Linked DNA regions of Struthio camelus. The protein of the gene in region 3 purifies or fractionates together with the protein of the main gene of each other region. This does not show direct contact. Links are inferred from orthologs where the notes say so. Each region holds a gene or a part of one and is shown on either strand. Other genes may lie near its edges.

The links.
Region 1: the proteins of TMEM9B (region 3) and FLVCR1 purify together in Homo sapiens (co-immunoprecipitation; 3 studies listed by BioGRID and IntAct, counting the BioPlex papers as one, with this or other methods). This does not show direct contact. The link is inferred for Struthio camelus from reciprocal best matches to the Homo sapiens genes TMEM9B and FLVCR1.
Region 2: the proteins of TMEM9B (region 3) and H(+)/Cl(-) exchange transporter 5 purify together in Homo sapiens (co-immunoprecipitation; 3 studies listed by BioGRID and IntAct, counting the BioPlex papers as one, with this or other methods). This does not show direct contact. The link is inferred for Struthio camelus from reciprocal best matches to the Homo sapiens genes TMEM9B and CLCN5.

What each region holds. Positions count from the first base shown.
Region 1 is NC_090944.1:114,319,980-114,323,724, reverse strand, and holds the start of FLVCR1 (heme transporter FLVCR1), read right to left. Parts: upstream 2,590-3,745; 5' UTR 2,488-2,589; coding exon 1,831-2,487; intron 1-1,830.
Region 2 is NC_090952.1:1,564,350-1,568,094, reverse strand, and holds the start of H(+)/Cl(-) exchange transporter 5, read left to right. Parts: upstream 1-1,475; 5' UTR 1,476-3,745. UniProt on the Homo sapiens protein: Proton-coupled chloride transporter. Functions as antiport system and exchanges chloride ions against protons. Important for normal acidification of the endosome lumen. May play an important role in renal tubular function.
Region 3 is NC_090946.1:23,283,162-23,286,906, forward strand, and holds the start of TMEM9B (transmembrane protein 9B), read right to left. Parts: upstream 2,416-3,745; 5' UTR 2,294-2,415; coding exon 2,210-2,293; intron 1-2,209. UniProt on the Homo sapiens protein: Enhances production of pro-inflammatory cytokines induced by TNF, IL1B, and TLR ligands. Has a role in TNF activation of both the NF-kappaB and MAPK pathways.

The DNA.
Region 1 (3,745 bases), on a different chromosome or scaffold from region 3:
CGATCAGCACTTCAAGGGGTAACGGGCGTGATTTGATTTTTGATAACTATTCTGTCCCTCCTGTCTGCAACCCAGACCGGCGTTTGCTATAGCTTCGAAGTTCTGCAAAACATCAGGTGCGTAATACGAGGACCAAGTCTCATTCATTGTAACAATCTGATTCTGCTATACAGCTAACCTTATGCATTTAGAGGAGCACAATGAGGCACGTAATTGAGGTCTGTATCACAATGCATACGCAGAAGGCAGCTGCATTAGCTTATATAGACCATATTAATTGTAGCAGGTTTTTAACTTTCAAGCACCTAATCTGTCATCTTATTCTTTCAGTCTAGGTTTCGAGAGGGTTTTTTTTCAAGAAAGCAAAAATTAAAAACAGAGAAATTCTATTGTTTGGCACTGTATCAATCTCCATGGGTCATAAGCAAGAGGAGGATCTTCGGACCTACAGCACAAGCTCCACAACTTGAGTTAACAGAGTACTGGCCAGCTGACCAAAATAAGCCATTGTCCTCTGTGCAGAAAAACCACCAGAGGAGAATGAAACCCACTTTGTCAGTGTATTTCACAGGTATTTCTAGGCGGCAGAGGACCACCAAGTACTTTGGGGCTCTAAGGTCATTCCTACTCTCTGCAGGGGAATGTGCTCCAGCAAGCAACCAAGCACACCTCTGCTACTGGCTTTTTTGTCCATCTTTCTCCTGCTTTCCATCTTCTCCACTCCTGGGCTTCTCCCCTCTTCCTTCACCACTTCATCCCCCAGACCTCAGCATCAGGACAGAGCACTGCTCTCAAGCTCCCAGCTTCCTCCCCAGCTGGGAGAGCTGTGGGCACCGCGCAGCAGAACTGAGACCACAGCAGTTCCTTCCTTGCTACTGGGAGGACTGCTGCCTGTCTCGGTGAAGCTCGTGTGGACATCTTAGCTGTCAAAGAAATCTTTAGCCTGACTCCAGGAAGCAGATGCTAGATTTCTGCTGAACTGCTAAAGAAGGAAAAAAGAAAAAACTTCAGTCTAAAACGGGCAGCCGGTTTGTCCACTGAAGACTTCAGCCCAAAAAGAACTGTTTTGGAAAAAATGCTGGAAAATTGTAAAGAGGGATGTAAAAATAACAAGCAACCCTAACTGCCAATAGGCACCACCTCAACTTTAACAATCCACAGACAAACAGCAATCGATAGAATCACAAGAGAATAAACAAAACCTCTATTACCTTAACCAGACCGTACCTGAGGCCTCAGCCCGCACCAGCGAAGCTGATGGGAATTTTACTATTTCGTTGCCACAGAGAAGTGGGGCCAGTGGCAGGGAGCAAGAACAAGGCTACGGGGGGGCGGGGGGGGGGGGAACGGACAGCATCTTCTCTGCAGGCAGCCCTTGCCCATACATCGGTGCCAGCTCTGTGGAACTAGGCCCGAGGACTTTGAGGACAGCTGTGGCAGGGCTCCGCTATCAGCTCCCCACGTGAATTATCACGCTGTTATAGAAAATGTCACGAGTCAGCAGGGCCGGCTCGGTCTATCGGTGCTCAGCCATGTGAGGCCACATTTTATTTTAAAAAAATGGTGGGGGGGGGGGGGGGAGGCGGGAAGGTGGATGATAATACGTTACCGATAGAGAGAGCGCTGCAGGGCAAAGCCGGCCTGGGGAATGCAACGTCGGCCGCCCATCACCGCTGCCTCTGGCCCCCTCACCCACCGCCCTCCCCGTCTCCGCGACGCGGCCCCAAGCGCCACTTCTCCGAGAACCGCCTGGGCCCCCGCGGCGGGCCTTTCAAGGGCCAGCGCCCTCCCCAGGCGCCGCCCCGCCGCCCGCCCCCGGCCCCGCCGTACCTGGTTGCCGAGCACGGCCACGGCGCAGGCCGTGGACACCTCGGCCGGGCCGAACCAGACGGCGGCCACGCGCGACGGCAGCCCCAGGATGAAGACCTGCGCCACGGCGCACACGCCCTGCGCCGCCATGGTGACGGCGTAGCGGCCCGGCGCTAGGCTGGCGCACTTGAGCCAGGCGCCCAGGGCGTTGAGCGCGGCGCCCAGCAGCGCCGTGAGGCGCAGCCCCCGCGCGTCCAGCAGCCAGGTGGCGGGCAGGATGAGCGGCACGTAGGCCACCATGTAGACCATGGAGAGCCAGTCTATGTGCGCGAAGGAGACGCGGTAGAAGTGCACGAAGACGTTGCTGAGGATGCTGTACTGGATCCACTGGAAGGCGTTCACCAGTGAGTAGCCGCTGAACACGGCCAGCACCGCCAGCCGCCGCCGCGACAGCCGCGTCTCCGCCCGCCCGCCGCCCGCCGCCAGCATGGCCTCGGCCTCCGCCGCCCGCCCGCCCCTCTGCGCCGCGCATCCTGCGGCCGCCCGCCCGCCGCCGTTGGCCGCCTCCTTGCCGGGGAGCAGCCCGTTGCGCTGCAGGGCGGCGGGCTCCGCGGCGCTCAGCATCTCCGCTCGCTCGCCCTCCTCCTCCTCTGCTGCTTCGTCGCCGGCTGCCACCATGTCGGCTGTCTCCCCGCCCAGCTTGGCGGCGGCGGCGGGCGCCTTCCGCAGCACGGCTCTGCCTCCGCTCCCCTCCCGCCAAGGTCACCTGGCGCCGCCGCCGCCCGGCCCGGCCCGGCCCGGCCCGGCCCGGCGCGGGGGCGGAGCGGGGGGCGGCTCGCTGCCCCGCCGCGCGGGAAGAAACCTCCCACCTACCCCCCCGCCCCCCCAACACCCGCCCTTCCTCTCCCCGGGCTGAGCACACGTGTGGCACCCGCTGCAGCCGCTCGCCAGGCCGCGGGCAGCAAGCCACGTCCTCTCGCAGGGGTCTTCTCCTCTGCCACGGGTCCTTAAAACCGGCCCGCAGGACGCAAAGCGAGGCGTTTTGAAATGTGTCGCTCGAAACCCCATAGCTAAAATTTAAGAAACAAAAACAATCGTTTAGTTCTGGTTTAAACTGGACCTGTGGGGACCGTCAGTGCAGCTGGCCGAGAAGCGCACGGAGACGAAAACGATGCCGATAATCCCCACAGCATCTCAGGGGGAGCAGCCGCACAATCTCATTCCCGTAATCTCATCCCCATGAGCCCCTTGCTTGGCTGAGCGCCTCCGGGCCGGCGTTTGGTGACCCCCCATCCACAGCACATCTCCCCCCTGCGTCCCCGCTCGCGCCGGGGCTCTGCGTTGCTAGGCGCTGCGCGCGCGGCCCCCGCCGCCGCGGGTCCGGAGCCTCGGCAAAACGTTCCTCCTTCCCGCTCAGCCTCCGAAATTTGGGGTGGCTCAGGTGCGTAGTGTTCTTACACGGTTACGTGTTACTTCGGTGGGAAGTCTTTTCTTAAACCCCGCTTGATACCTGTTTGTATAGGCGTAGTGTCTAGCAGGCCCCATCACGGGATCATGATTCTCCTGTCGTCAACGCAACGCCATAATAAACAGGTAGATTGTTCTCCAAAGAGCTTTAGAAAATACAGCAACGTTTAAGTTTGTTAACAACGTTAGAAGTAAATTACTGGCCTCTGCAGGAAATCTGTTGGTGTACGTTCAGCAAATAACATGCCGCGAATTGTTTGTGGATCTGTTAGCGTGTAATCAGGTTTGTGTCTGTCTAGTAGATATGCCTAGCTACCAGAGTCTTAAGTTTCCTCATAAATTATGAGCTGGTATTTTTCACAAGATCAGGTGATCTAAGCCACAGTTCCTGATGTGATTTTCAACATGAATAATTACATAAACACACGCCTCAGAATATTAATTTGGCTATGTTTGCTTCCCCCAAGTA
Region 2 (3,745 bases), on a different chromosome or scaffold from region 3:
CGTGACAGATGTGACTTTCACATTCAGCCGCAGGAATTTTTTCCTGTGGTGAAGCTCTTGGGTAAGTAGCACAGAAAACAATGGACAGGAAAATGGGGTAAAGGAGTCTGCCTTCCCCTGCCCTGGCTCGTGCATGTGTGTTTGTGTGCTCCCACGTGTATTTCCGGGCTGGAGGTCTGGGTTTCCATCATTGCCATTCCCTCATCGCACTGTCGCTGCAGAAGTCCTTGTTTCTGCTGAGATGAGCAGGACAATGGCATGGCAGAGCAGATCCCTCTCCTTTCCTCTCCTTCCCAGCCCCAGATACCTGCTCCTTCCTTTCAGAGACTGTTGCTTCACAGGAAGTCTATTTTCTGCTTAGGTTTCAAAGTTTCTTATCCCCATCCCGTTTGTCTCTGGTTGTTCCAGGCATTTTGCATGCTACACAAAGGAGAAAATAAATTCTGTATTTGGGGAGACCACTGGTTTCTAGGAGGAAAAAGAAAAAAAAAGATGTTCATTTAATGGACATTTAATTAAATTTTTAATTTTTTAATTAAAATTTTCATTTAATTAAATCTTTTCCCACCTGGAAACCATCCTGATGGGAGATTTTCACCCTGCCTCAGCATCCCTGATACCTAGGCTGGATGTCAAGGAGCCTCCTGGCAGACAGCTGGAGATGTTCTCCTGAGCCGTGGGTGGTAGCTGCCTGAAGGGGGAAGCTGGCAAAGCACTAGGAGAGATGTCCAGGAATGCAGGGTATCTCCCCATTGGGTGTTTTGAGAAGGGGTTGGCTGAACACCCAGTGGTGTGTTGAAGGGAAGGGGCTGAGACTGCAGTAATGAGAGGAGGTCCTCAACCTCCGGAGAAGATCCATGCTGTTACTCAGAGTACAAAGGCCTTGTCTGGCTCAGGGTTCATATTTTTCATGAAGTCATTTTTTTGGGCACTTGGTGACAGGAGGAGCACAGGAGTGCTACATGTCAGGGCCATCACTCCCACAGGAGCTGCACAAGGGGCTGATCTCAAGAGTGCTGTGGCAAGGATTTCCTCTGCAAGGCACCCAGGATGTCTGCAGGCCTGGGGACAGTAACTCAAACTGTGAGGAGAGGACCAAAACAGCAACCAGGGCAGGAGACACCTGCTCACTGCTGCTTGCACTAGGGCTCTGGGCAGAGCACAGGTACCACTGCCCTCTCCAATCTAGCCAATCCCTAGGGAGGAACCTGCTGCCTGCCTGCCCCTCTTCACCAGCCCTGATGCACTGAGCATGGATGGAAGAAGGCAGAAGGCCAGATCCAGCAGCCCCTGCTCCCAGGTAAGCAGGCAGTGGGGAGTAGGCAGCCAAGAGCATACATCAGCTCTGCGCATACCTAAAGACGAAATGATCCAGTTTGCCATACTATATGTGTACAGCAGGGTCATGCAAGGACATGATGGGGCTGGCTGCATCTGGGAGAATGGCCTAGGGCTGAGGCCAGACAAGCCAGTGTTTGTTTCTTGGTACTAATCACTCAGCCTTCTTCCCCTTACAAGGGAACCTGGCCAACTTGTGTTATCACAGAGATCAGATAAATCCCAAAGTTCAACCCTTCAGGAAATATGGCAGGGCCTTCCTCTTCTAAAGGACTTTTACTTACACAGCATGATGTTGATGTCACCTTCTAAGGTAGTTGCTATGCTAAAAACCTGAAACTGAAACATTGCCAGCCCCACCATGACATTCACTCTGTGCACAGAGAGTGCTGTGCTGTTACCCCTCCTGATGTGACTTGGGAAGCCTGGGGATAGCAAGGCATTGGGCACTTGGTGGGAGCTTTTTTGATTCAGAGCTCTAGGGTGTTCCCATAGGCTATCAGAGCAGAAATGATTGAGCAGATGTCCTTTGGGGAAGCAAACACATCTACACAGCAAGAGAACTGCTCTCTGTCCTGTGACAGAGCTGGGCTCACCCTGCAGAAATTAGAGAGACTCTGCAGCAATGCAAATCTCTGCTTGAGGGACAAGTGATCCTGACTGCTGATTCTCACACTCATGGGGCCTACAGAGCTGTCTGCTCAAGGGTTCAGCCCCTTGCTGGGAATGAGAAAGGTTTTTGCTCCAGTTCCAGCACCAACATCCTGCTGTGTCCTGGTCACAGCTTTGGGTTGTTCTGTGAAGTCTCCCAGCAGAGACAAGCCATGTTTCCAGGACCGGAGAAAAATCTGCTGAGTTTTGAGCCAGTTTCCATGGAAGGAGGAAAAAAACCATCTGAGGAAGAAAAGCAGCATCTGAGGACACTGACATGTAGTTTTCTGACCATCCTCCAAGGAGTTATGCAACAGGAGGTGACTTCTAGAGTGGCCAGCCAGCCAGAATTAAAAGCTTCTCACTGGGGATAACAGGGAGTTCAAGCAAGGTGCTTGCTGCCATTCGTAGACTTCACCTAGCTGGACAGCTCATATCTGCACCAATGCTGCCCCCTAGTGCTGCCAGAATCCATACTGGTGCCGGCCCCGGCCAGACCGGCGCTCTTGGTAATGGGCTGGGACGTGGGCTCTGGTAGCAAGGAACCGCTGCGCTGCATCAGGGAAGACTGTTTCAAGTTTGTATCACACAAGAGTCCAGAGACCCTGTCCAGGAATGGCTTGTGCTAGGTACTGGGTGCATGATGTGTAACCACCCCCAACTGCTGCTCCAAAAAGCTTAGGGGTATTAAAGATGTTAGTATGCTGAATGGGAATAGGAGAGGCTTAGGGGAAAATCCCTGTAGAAACTGCTGCTGCAGCTTTTGGTGTTGCAGCTGCCAATAGGTAAGAAACTGCCCCTACGCCAAGTGCTCAGCCCACAGAGACAGGTGGGGAGAAGGGAAACTGAGGCACCATCACTCTCCTTCCTGCCCTGGGTCACGTAACAGCTCAACGGCTGTGGCAGCAAGAGTGGTTTGGTCCACTCACCCATGAGACTACCAAGCCAGCAGCCCCGATCCTTGGCCAAGGACCTGAAACAGCCCAGAATTGCTATCCTTCCCCTTCGACATCCAGATCTTGCACAAGCCTGGTCCCCAAAAGAGCCGTGCTGTCAGCCTCCAGAGGTCTGGCCTGCTAGGCATCTCACTGAGGAGTAGCAGAGAGACTCAATGACCTCAGCCTCGGCCTGAGGACCTGCTATGGGAGGCACTGCTCAGCTGGGAGCTCAGCTGGTACAGCCCACAGCTGAGAGCTTGTCTGACCTGGGGCAACATTGCAAGTAAGAGGAAGGCATCAAAAAAGGTAAGCACACCCCTAGAATATGTCAGAAAAGGCAGGGATCTTCCACTGCCATGGCACCAGGACATCCTGGAAGTTCTGGAGTATTCCTAGCTCCAGCAGTTACTCCAGACTGGCATAGCACAGAGGAGGGTTACAGGGAGCACAGACTGTCCCAGAGTGGGCTGGGAGGGGAAGGAAAGGAGCCTGAAAGGCACCCTGCCCCCTGGAGACAAGTGTAAGTGGAGCTCTGGTGAGCACAGAGGAGCCCTGAGGCAGCTGGGGCTGAAAGCAAGCTGAGGTTTAGCTGTTGGAGCCCTGAGATGGCTATCTGATAGGGCATGGATGGAGAGGGGTGGCAAGGGGGTGCTGCGCTTAGGAGAGGTTATATGACTGCTCATGGAAGCTGGGGAGCGTTTCACCCAGGTAGACAGTAAAGCATCTGACATATCAATCTCAGGCATGAGTGACTGCTTCAAACCCTGGAGGTGATGACATTAGTCCTAAACCCCAACTACATCTGCTTATTAAAATCT
Region 3 (3,745 bases):
AGCAAGCTTTAGGGAAACAATTCGAAGACTTGCATAAGCAACGAGAGGCACTGCAAAAAGAAGTGAGGAAAATTAACATCCCACAGTTATGGGAAGTGAGAAAGAGTTAACACCCAAAGATCACAGTTAGACCACTACTGGGAAGAAAGCAATTCCAGAAAGAAACTACTTTGTGTATATTCTAGTGAGATAATTCCTTCCTTTCCCAAAACGCACAAGAGCGGAAAACCCTGTGAAGAGAACAGAGATAGCGAGCAAAGAGTTATAGATGACAGCAGTCTCAAACTGAAATCAGAGTAATTTATTTGAGAAAATAATAAGACACAAAAGGTAAGCCTGACTTATCTGAAATTCAGGGCAACTTTTGCCAGGATCATAAGAGACTGTCTTAAGAAGTATTGATAAATAAACATCTATACTGAACAGTTAGATCAGAGTAACGCTAAACGAGCGTAGGTCGGCTGGAAAACCTTGATTTCAGTATATACCAAGGCACTTCTGGTCTTGCCATAGGAAAGTCAAACAGTTAATTAGCATTAAAAACATGGAGAAGCTACATATAAAGGTGCTTCCGCAATTTGGAAGTTTCCCTATTAGGAGATACTATGTTCTCACAGTTAGTCACAGAGACAATAAGATTATAGCCGCAAAATGCAAAATATTAACCTACAAGGACCAACAACTGAGAATTTAAATACACTCTAGTCAGGTAAGGCAGCAAAGCTGGAAGAGCCACCATGGAACAGAAGAGAAGATGAAAGCACTCAGACATGTAACGCTGAGTGGAAGCAGAGCACCAAGCTGAAAGTAAAATAAGACATCTGGCAGATCCCCTTTTCCTTTTATATAGTCAGACACAAGAACATGAGCTTTCTCTCAGACAAGACCTTCTCAATGAATACACAACGATGACTTGTGGTTGCACGTGACAGCATCTCAGAGCACTACGTCAAAACTAAAGTAAAACGCTGAAAACTTAAGCTCTGTACAGACACAAGCACTAATAAAAACAGATAAAACTCAACTAGTTCTAATTCTTGCTATGTTCTGCTCTACAACGTGTCACATACCTAGCTTTCAACACCTAGCTACTGCAATCTCTACTTTTCATAAACCTCCTATGAAGATATCAGTAAAAAGCAACCTGACGTCCCGCTAAAATCAGCAATTATGACTTCGATATAAACTGAAGTTACCCCCTAAATCTGATCTTGCGTGGGCACATGCCTGACGCTTTAACAGATTCGGGCAAAACCCTCTGCTCCATGGCACCCGGGGAAGGCAGGTCAGTAAGTAACGGCCAGACCAGATGCCCAAGCTCCTGAACCTTCACAAAAGCAGGAGGTAATTAACGGAAACCTAGTCCTCCCTTTGCAAAGGACTACTCTCTGACATTCAGAAGGGACTCCTGTCATCTCTGTTCTTCTGTTTTAACAAAAGCAATGACTGAAATACGTGATAATGAATTAACATGCTTGTGGGATAGCGAAAAAATTAGAACAGCAGTCCAAGCGTTCACAGCTAAGGTAAGCGTTCACCGACAGGCTGGGAAAGTTAACACGTTCAAAGACCTGGAGGAACCAGGACCAACGACCTGAGCAAGAAACCAGCCGAGGTACCAGCAAGGACGTCAGAAAGGGGGAGCAGAGCCGAGGCGCCACAAACCAGCCCCGGGAGAGGCCGCGTCTCACCTCGGGGCCTTACAGCCCCGCGCCAACCCACCGCCGACCACCGACCGTTGGGGGGGGGGGGGGAAGGTGGCACCCGCGGGACCGGCTGGGGCGGGCCAAGGCGGCCGTTGGGGCGCGGGGGGAGCGAGGACGACGGTCGGGGCGCGCGGGGGGGGGGGCGAAGGCGACGGTTGGGGCGCGCGGGGGGAGGCGAGGGCGACGGTTGGGGCGCGCGCGGGGGGGGGGAGGCGAGGGCGACGGTCGGGGCGCGCGGGGGGGGGGGCGAAGGCGACGGTTGGGGCGCGCGGGGGGAGGCGAGGGCGACGGTTGGGGCGCGCGCGGGGGGGGGGAGGCGAGGGCGACGGTCGGGGCGCGCGCGGGGGGGGGAAGGCGAGGGCGACAGTTGGGGCGCGCGCGGGGGGGGGAGGCGAGGGCGACGGTTGGGGCGCGCGCGGGGGGGGAGCGAGGGCGACGGTTGGGGCGAGGAGCCGCAAGGCGCACCGGGACCCGTCCCCCGCGCCCCGCTCGGCTCGGCTCACCTTGGCCTCCGCGGCCAGCCCCGCCAGAGCGGCCAGCGCCAGCAGCGAGCAGAGCCGCGGCCAGCCCCCGCCGCCGGCCGCCATGTCGGGCCCCGGGCTCGGCCCGGCCCGGAACCTCCTGCTTATCGCCGCCGCCGCCGCCGCGCCGCCAGCCCCCCGGCGCCCGCCGCCATCACTTCCGCCTTCCGGCGGCCTCACGTGAGGCGGTGTCCGGCCGGGAAGGCGGCCGGCGGGGTGCGGCGGCGCCGGCGGCGGGTTCCGGGGCGGCGGGGGCCGCCCCTGCCCGGCCGCCTCTCCGTCGCCTCTTGGCCCTTGGATTTCAAACAGCAGCCTCATTCACGAAGCGCTTGAAAGAGCAGAGACTCGGCGTTTCCTCACCTGCTGCTCACAGAAATGACAAGCAGCCACGTTTGAAATGCGAAGGGGAAGAAAAAAACCGGGTGCGCTGAGGTCTGGCAGAGGCGGTTGGGCCCCGGGCCGGCCGGCCGGGGAGCGCGGCGGTGCTGTGCGCCCCGGCTGCGGAAACAAAAACGTGCGATACCTTCCTTCGGGCTGACCGCCTTTCTTCTGCAGAAGGAGTGTCCCCGTTGTCCCCCACGGAGCGGATGGCGAGGGGACGCGGAGCAGGACACGACCCAGGCGTCACCTGCAACATACCACACGTTAGTTACCCTACTTCTTCACCCTCCCCAAACATGCAGTAGTTACTGTATGCAGACCTGCCGATGTGCAGCACCAAGAGTAATGTTTTCCCTGTGCAAACAGGCTCTGAGAAATTACAGAAAAAAATTGCGCATTTGGTTACACTGAAGCTAAGCCTAAAAATACAATTAATGCTAATTATCCCTATAAAGTGCATTTTGGGTCAGTTAAACAACACAAAAGTTTTGAAACGTATTAGAAGTGATGCAAAGTAGCATTCCAGATGAGAGGTGGAGGTTGCTGGTAACGAGTTTTTCAGTAACTGAACATAGAAGGGCAGTATATATTTTCAATGTATTTTATAGATAGACATATACATAGATAGACAGCTTTTCTCTAAGATAATGTCCCTAAAATACAGTGCTGTCCCCTATTTTTCACGTGGTGGTTAGTGGTGTCCATGCAAGAAGAGAGTTCACCTTCCTTCAGAGAGGCAATAAACGTTCATGAGAAGCAGCATTTTCAGCTGCAGTCCTTTGGGACCTGGCAGATCGAGCAAGTTTGAGTTTTCCTGTCCTTGGCTGGGAAGACCCAGAGAGCGCCTGCTGCTGCTAGGAGGGGGTTCAGCTGGTCTCCTGCTCGGGAGTCAGCGCTGAAGGGCTTTTTGAGCCCGGCCACGGAAACTGCCTGTGTTCATTTCAGGTTCTCCGCTGCCTTTCAGGAGGAATCGCAGACGTCCTGTTTTAGCCACATCCTCTGCCCGTCTTTCCTCCCCAGTTCCTATATCTTGTACCTTTTTTATATCCATTTTCTGTCCCAAACTGCTTAGCAGGAACACTGTACATTGCCAAAGAGTTGCTCTGTTTTCTTTCTCCTCCTCCACCTTCCGGTAAG